2 linked regions of the Callithrix jacchus genome follow. The protein of the gene in region 2 interacts with the protein of the main gene of each other region in a biochemical or structural test. Links are inferred from orthologs where the notes say so. Each region holds a gene or a part of one and is shown on either strand. Other genes may lie near its edges. The genes, in order: TGFB1 and DCN.

The links.
Region 1: the proteins of DCN (region 2) and TGFB1 form a complex in vitro, tested with the Homo sapiens proteins (3 studies listed by BioGRID). The link is inferred for Callithrix jacchus from reciprocal best matches to the Homo sapiens genes DCN and TGFB1.

The regions. Positions count from the first base shown.
Region 1 is NC_133523.1:36,619,852-36,623,670, forward strand, and holds part of TGFB1 (transforming growth factor beta-1 proprotein), read right to left. Parts: intron 3,323-3,819; coding exon 3,245-3,322; intron 3,110-3,244; coding exon 2,959-3,109; intron 1-2,958. UniProt on the Homo sapiens protein: Transforming growth factor beta-1 proprotein: Precursor of the Latency-associated peptide (LAP) and Transforming growth factor beta-1 (TGF-beta-1) chains, which constitute the regulatory and active subunit of TGF-beta-1, respectively.
Region 2 is NC_133510.1:89,998,260-90,002,663, forward strand, and holds the end of DCN (decorin), read left to right. Parts: intron 1-2,968; coding exon 2,969-3,163; 3' UTR 3,164-3,688; downstream 3,689-4,404. UniProt on the Homo sapiens protein: May affect the rate of fibrils formation.

The sequences.
Region 1 (3,819 bases), on a different chromosome or scaffold from region 2:
GCGATAAGCCACTTCTGCTCAATGGGTGGAAAATATATTTCCTCTTCCTTATGATTGTCTTAAGTACGTTTTCTTTTCTCTATCTTATTTTTAAAATACAGGATATAGGCCAGGAGTGGTGGCTCATGCCTGTAATTCCAGCACTTTGTGAGGCTGAGGCAATCAGATCACCTGAGGTTAGGAGTTCAGGATCAGCCTGGCCAACATGGTGAAACCCCATCTCTACTAAGAATACAAAAATTAGCCAGGTGTGGTAGTGTGTGCCTGTAATCCCAGCTACTTATGAGGCTGAGGCAGGAGAATTGCTTGAACACGGGAGGCAGAGGCTGCAGTGAGCCGAGATTTTGCCATTGCACTCCAGACTGGGTGACAAGAGTGAAACTTCTCAAAAAAAAAAAAAAAAAAAAACACCAAAAATACAGGACATAGGCCGGGAGTGGTGGCTCATGCCTATAATCCCAGCATTTTGGGAGGCTGAGGCTGGTGAAACCCTGTTGCTTAACATTTCCTCTGTTCCTGTCTTTCTATAAAACTGTTGGGATCTACAGTCCTGATCGGAGTTGCCTTTTTTTTTCATAGACAGGGTCTCGCTCTGTTCTGAAGTGCAATGGTGTGATCCCAGCTCACTGCAGCCACAACCTCCTGGGCTCAAGCACTCCTGCCTCAGCCTCCCAAGTAGCTGGGACTACAGGCACACACCACCCAGCCCAGCTAGTTTTTTGGTATTTTTTGTGGAGAGACAGGGTTTTACCATGTTGCACAGGCTGGCTTGGAACTCCTGGAACTCCTGAGCTCAAGCGATCTGCCTGCCTCAGCCTCCCAAAGTGCTGGGATTACGGGCATGAGCCGCCGCACCCGGCCTTCAGGTTTCACTTTTTGGCAAGACTTCCTAGGCAACGTTGTGTCCACCCTACGGAGGCTCACATGGCTGGCTGGCTCCTATGTCATGTCAGCTGCTGTTGGCACTCGAGACCTCAGTTTGCTCCTTCACAGGGTTGCTGGGCTGATGGCGCTAAAATCTGATAGGGAAGGAGTCTGGGAGCAGGGCTGATTTTCCGGCAGAGGAAAAGCAGGTGACAAAGCCCAAGACACCACCAAAGTATTTTAAGCAGGGGAGGAATGAGGTCAGATGATCACTTCCATTTTACCACATTCTAACTCTCCGTTTCAACTTTCTAGGAATCCAACATTTCAGCTTTCTTAGAGTGCACGGTTAGTATTCCAGCATCTTCCGATGCTAACATGCTGACAGCATTTTCAACTCTCCAGGATTCCTACTTTCCAAACTTTGAGGATCTTGGCATTCCTGACTTCCAGTATGCCAGTACCGCATCCCGACATTCCACAGTTCCGAGCCCATCACTCAAGAGGATCAAGCTAACACTTTCCTTTTTTTTTTTTTTTTTTTTTTTTGAGATGGAGTTTCTCTCTTGTTACCCAGGCTGGAGTGCAATGGCGCGATCTTGGCTCACCGCAACCTCCGCCTCCTGGGTTCAGGCAATTCTCCTGCCTCAGGCTCCTGAGTAGCTGGGAATACAGGCACACGCCACCGTGCCCAGCTAATTTTTTGTAGTTTTTAGTAGAGACGGGGTTTCACCATGTTGACCAGGATGGTCTCGATCTGCCGACCTCGTGATCCACCACCCACCTCGGCCTCCCAAAGTGCTGGGACTACAGGCTTGAGCCACCACACCCGGCCTTTCCTTTTTTTTTTTTTTTTTTGAGGTGGCGCAATCTCAGCTCAGTGAAACCTCTGCCTCTCAGGTTCAAGCGATTCTCCTACCTTAGCCTGAGTACCTGGGTAGCTGTAATTCCAGCTGAGTAGCTAAGATTATAGGTACCCACCACCATGCCCGGCTAATTTCTGTATTTTTAATAGAGATGGGAGTTCACCATGTTGGCCAGGGGTGGTCTTGAACTCCTGACCTCAGGTGATCTGCCCACCTTGGCCTCCGAAAGTGCTGGGATTACAGGCATGAGCCACCCGGCCTGCTGCCACTTTCTATTCATAAATTCCCAGCATTCTAAGATTCTAACATTCCAGCACTGAGTCACAGCATGCTGGAATACCAATATTCTGGCTTTCTCCAGCTCCTACATTTGTGGGTGTGAATATTTTAAAACAGAATTCTACCAATGTGAGCCCAATATTCAAAGATTCCAGTCTGCCCACACTGGGATGCACATGAGGAATGGTGTAGGAATTCCACATGGGCCATCTTCTCATTCTGCACCCCCAAATTATAGGATCCCAGTGTTTCATCTTTCCTTCAGTCCAACATTCTCCATTTCAGTAATTAACACCAAGTTCTAGCATTCTAGACCCTCAACCTACTAACAAATTAGGGATCCAAGATGGTGACCTTCCAACTTTATTCCACCATTCTCAGAGTTCAGCTTCCTAAGGTTCTGTGATTCCAACACTCCAGCAAGAAAGCAACCTGATCCCAACATTCCAAGACTCCAACTATTTGTTTGTTTTTTGTTTTTTGAGACAGTCCCCACTCTGTCGCCCAGGCTGGAGTGCGGTGGTGCGATCTCGGCTCACTGCAACCTCTGCCTCCCAGATTCAAGTGATTCTCCTGCCTCAGCCTCCCAAGTAACTGGGATTACAAGCGCCCGCCACCATGCCTGGCTAATTTCTGTATTTTAGTAGAGACGGGGTTTCACCATGTTGTCCAGGCTGGTCTCAAACTCCCCACCTCAGGTGATCCGCCTGTCTCGGCCTCCCAAAGTGTTGGGATTACAGCCTCCCAAAGCCCGGCAAAAGACTCCCGGTTCTTACACCCTAGACCCCATCCCCTAAGCCCTTCAAGCTTCAGCTCTAGCCCTCCCTTTAGGAGAAAGACGCTCAGCCCAAGCACAGCATCAGCCAGGTGTCCAACCTGGAGCACCAGGTCAGCAGATGGCAGTCATGCCCGCAGCCTAGAAGGCCTCTATCCAGGCTGCAAGGTTCACCTGAAGCAGTAGTTGGTGTCCAGGGCTCTGCGGTGCCGGGAGCTTTGCAGATGCTGGGCTCTCTCCAGCGGCGTGGCCATGAGAAGCAGGAAAGGCCGGTTCATGCCGTGAATGGTGGCCAGGTCACCTCGGCGGCCAGTAGAGAATCCTGCTTTGGTGTGGGAGTCAGAGGATAGGGGACATATACAGACATCTCAGAGGGACAGACGGGTGGGGCGTGGGGCAGATGAGGACACACACATGCACACAGATCACAGCTGGGCATGGCCAGGGAAGTGGGTCTTACCGTTGATGTCCACTTGCAGTGTGTTAACTTGGCTGTCACAGGAGCAGTGGGCGCTAAGGCGAAAGCCTTCAATTTCCCCTGTAGCAGTGGGAAGAGGGAAGCCAGTCTGTGGGTGTAGCTCACCCAGTCCCTGGAGGAAGAGGAACGAAGGAGCAAACCCCAGGGGGTTCCTTCCTGCCTCCCCTGCCCACCCTGCTCTGTCCTCTCTGCAGCTCTCTTGCTTCATTTATTTATTTATTTATTTGAGACAAGGTCTTGCAGCCTCAACCTCCCAGGCCCAAGCAATCCTCCCACCTCAGCCTCCCAAGTAGCCAGGCCTGTGCCACCATGCAAGACTAATTTTTTTTTTTTTTTTGAGACAGAGTCTGGCTCTGTTGCCCAGGCTGGAGTGCTGTGGCACGATCTCGGCTCACTACAACCTCTGCCTCCCAGGTTCAAGCAATTCTCCTGCCTCAGTCTCCCAAGTAACTGGGATTACAGGCACACGACACCATGCCTAGCTAATTTTTTGTACTTTTAGTAGAGATGAGGTTTCACCATGTTAGCCAGACTGGTCTGGAACTCCTGACCTCAGG
Region 2 (4,404 bases):
TTACGTCAAGTTTTGAAATTAGAAAGTGTAGGTCCTGGCCGAGGGCAGTGGCTCATGCCTATAATCCCAGCACTTTGGGAGGCTGAGACGGGTGGATCACTAGGTCAGGAGTTCAAGACCAGCCTGACCAACATGGTGAAACCTCATCTCTACTAAAAATACAAAAATTAGCTGGGCATGGTGACACACGCCTGTAATCCCAGGTACTCAGGAGGCTGAGACAGGAGAATTGTCTGAATCTGGGAGGCGGAGGTTGCAGAGAGCCAAGATCGTGCCAGCCTAGGTGACAGAGTGAGACTTCGTCTAAAAAAAAAAAAAAAAAAAAGGGAAATGTAGGTTCTCCAAATTTGTTTTGTTTTGTTTTCAAAGTTATTTTGGCTATTCTGGTTCTTTTGCATTCCATATAAACTTTAGGATTAACTTGTTCATTTCTGGAAGAATATTCTTGTAGGGCTTTGATTGTTTTGAATCTATAGATAATGACTATATTAACATTAAGCCTTCCAATACACGAGGATTATTTATATCTTCTTTTCTTATTCTCAACAGGTTTTGTCATCTTTAGCATATATGTCTTGCAATTCTTTTACTACATTCATTTTTTTCATTCTTTTTGATGCTGTTTTGAATGATTAATTTTTTTACTGGTGTGCTGCTAATGTACAAAAGTATAATTGATGTTTATGTATTGAGCTATCCTAGTACTATGCTAAATTTGTTTTTAGTTATAGTGATTTTTGTGAGTTCCTTTGGATATTCTATATTCAGGATATATTATTTACAAATAGCTTTAATTATTTTATTTGGATTCTTTAAGTACACCACTCTGCCCCCAACCCACCCATTACATTGGCTGACATCTCCAGTGCAATGTTGAATGGAGGTAATGAAATTAGACATCTTTGCCTTATTTGCTAGTTTAGGAGGAGGAAGCATTCATTGTACCATTAGTTATGATGCTAGCTATAGGTCTTCTATAGATGCTTTTTATCAAGTTGAAGAAGTTCCCTTCTGTTTCAGGCTTACCAAAAACACTTATTATGAATGTTGTTGTTTTTTCTTACATGTTTTTCCTGCATCTATTGAGATAATCATGTGAGTTTTGGCCTTTATATTTTTGATATACTGTATTACATTGATTGATTTTCACATGTTAAACTAATTTTACAACCCTGAGATAAATCATGTTTGGTCTCATAGTATATGATCGTTTTACATGTTGTGAAATGTAGCTTCCTAATATTTTGTTAAAGATTTTTTTTGTCCCTATGCATAAGAGATATTTGATTACAGTTTTCTCTTCTTATGATGAATTTTGTCTGGCTTTAGTCTTAGAAAATATTGATCCCATAGAATGAGTTTCGAATCTACTTTTATTTTCTTTACACAGGCTAATACTTATGTCTTGATATTTTCTTCTCTTGTTTTCAATGTTAGCCATAAGTGCTCACCAAACACCCCTTCCTTTACTTGCTGGAACATAGAGGATAGTAAGTGACAACAAGAAACTCAAAATTTGAGACTCATAAACCATGCATATAAGTGTTGCTTTCACTTGAATATTCCTTGTTTCTGTTTTTATATGACATCTACTAGTTTGCTTTTAAACCCTTACAGAAACAAAGTCATTTTAACCAGCACATAAATGTGAATGTCCTAGGAGGTAGAGCAATGTTTCAAGTTATTTTTAAGGGAGTACTTCATAGGTTTTATAGCTCACTTTAGACCTTGTTGTCTTAGTGTTATATTCTAACCTAGCTTGTATGATTTTGGATTCGTTGCTTCAGAATTCATATCCTCAGAGTGGAAGTGTAAACTTATTTCTAACATTCTTTGTATAAGTCTGATATTTAGTGACCCTAAGAAAATCTATGGACAAATTACCATTATCTTAAACATGATTGTAAAACATAATTCAGAAAAAAATTATGATTTATTATATAGCACTATATTCATTGAGTAAAATGTATTACATAAAATCCACATTTGTTAAAACTTCTAGGTTTAACAAATTTATTCTAAATGCTGTGATATTTAAATATTTAAGTACTTTTTGGAGTTTGTGATTATTTCAATTCCAGTACTTTATACCCGCTTTTTCTTTTTCACTACATAGCACTTTCTCATTCTGTATAATTTTGTTAAAAGGTTTATATATTTTTACCCTGAAACCATAATGTTTCATGTAGGCCCAATATAGTTATGTAGACCTGGTATATGAAATAACATTTATTCATTCAACATGTATTTATTGAACACCTGCTCTGTTGTAGTACTGGAAATGCAGCCATAAACAAGCAGAACCATTCCTATCTCATGGAGCCTTTACTTTAGAGGAGAGAAACAAACAATAGCAAATACGCATAATATGCTACATATTGATAATGCTATGAAGAAAAATGAAGAAATTTAATATAATTCTGCCCCAGAGAATGGCAGAATGGGGTGGTCAAGGAGGGTATCTCTGGTAAGAAAAAGTGAATTACATGAGGCAGCAAGCTTTGACGATGCTTTAGAGATCATTCTAGGTTGAGTAAATGCTGTTGATAACTTAAGAAGAGATCATGCTTTGTGCGTTAGAAGAGCAGCAAGTAGACCAGATGATTGGCTTGTACAGTAAAGGAAGAGGTCAGAGTAAAAGGATATTAGATCATGTAGGATGTGTAGGCCCCTGTAAGAACTTTGGATTTTATTATTCTGCATAACACAAAAAATAGGCGGGCATGGTGACATGAGCTTGTAGTCCCAGCTACTCAGGAGACTGAGACAGGAGAATAGCTTGAACTTTGGAGGCAGAGGCTGCAATGCACTGGGGTCACACCACTGCATTCCAGCCTGGGTGACAGAGCAAGACTTTGTTTCAAAAAAAAAAAAAAAAAGTGAAGGATAAAAAATATTAAAAAGAATAAACTATTCAGCTGAAGGGCCTCAACATTTAGAGAATAACAATTATTGTTTTATGTTGCAGGTTGTCTACCTTCATAACAACAATATCTCTGTAGTTGGATCAAGTGACTTCTGCCCACCTGGACACAACACCAAAAAGGCTTCTTATTCGGGTGTGAGTCTTTTCAGCAACCCGGTCCAGTACTGGGAGATACAGCCATCTACCTTCAGATGTGTCTACGTGCGCTCTGCCATTCAGCTCGGAAACTATAAGTAATTCTCAAGAAAGCCCCCAATTTTATAACCTGGCAAAATCTTGTTAATGTCATTGCTAAAAAACAAATAAAAGCTAGATACTGGAAACCTAACTGCAATGTGGATATTTTACCCACATGACTTATTATGCATAAAGCCAAATTTCCAGTTTAAGTAATTGCCTAAAATAAAAAGAAATTTTGCCTGCCATTTTCAGAATCATCCTTTGAAGCTTTCTGTTGATGTTAACTAAGCTACTAGAGATATTCTTATTTCACTTAATGTAAAATTTGGAGTAAATATATATGTCTATATTTAGTAAAGCTTTTCTTTTTTAATTTCCAGGAAAAAATAAAAAGAGTATCTTCTGTAAATCATTGAGCAGTTAGCTCCTTTGAGATAAAGTCAAATGTCAATCACTAGCTCTGTATTAACCCCCATTATTACTGGTAAAGCCTCATTTGAATGTGTGAATTCAATACAGGCTGTGTAAAATTTTTGCTACTGTCATTATTTTGAAAAAATAAATTTAAAAATACATTCAAAATTGCTATTGTATACAAGCTTAATTGTAAACATTCCCTAAACACAATTTTATGAAGGGAGCAGACATTGTTTGTTGACAATAACAGTACATCTTTTCAAGTTCTTAAGCATTTCTTCTACCTCTCCCTGTCTTTCATTTGAGTATGGTCATCTGTTTAATGTAAGCTTAAAAGCACAAAGCATACATTTCCTGATTGGTCTAGAGAACTGATATTTCAATTTATTCTTCTGCTAAATAAATATTAAAACTATCATGTGTACTTCATGTAATCAGGCTGCACATTTCTACAATTACTAGATACATTAGACATAATTATTTTCTTTAGTTAAACACCCAATGTTAGAAGTGTTTTCTGTAGAATTTAGCAATAGCTATCAATGCATACAATTTAACAAGCCTGGGGATGATTTACTTAGAGTAAACATTTATCAAATTGTACATTTATGATATCAATGATTAATAAGCAAATATGTGAAAATAGTTTTCTATGAAGTTGAATGTTTGACAGTTAAAAATCCTATCAATTGTAGTTTCATATGGCAAATAGTAATTGAAATACTACAGGATACATTTAAATAATTTATTAAATACAGCAAATAATTGAAATATGATTAGAATACATTTTATCACAGAAATACATGCAGTTATAGTAGTGGCTCACATGAGAGGTGATCAGTTCTGCTAATAGTAGCAGACTGAGTACAGTGAAACATCAA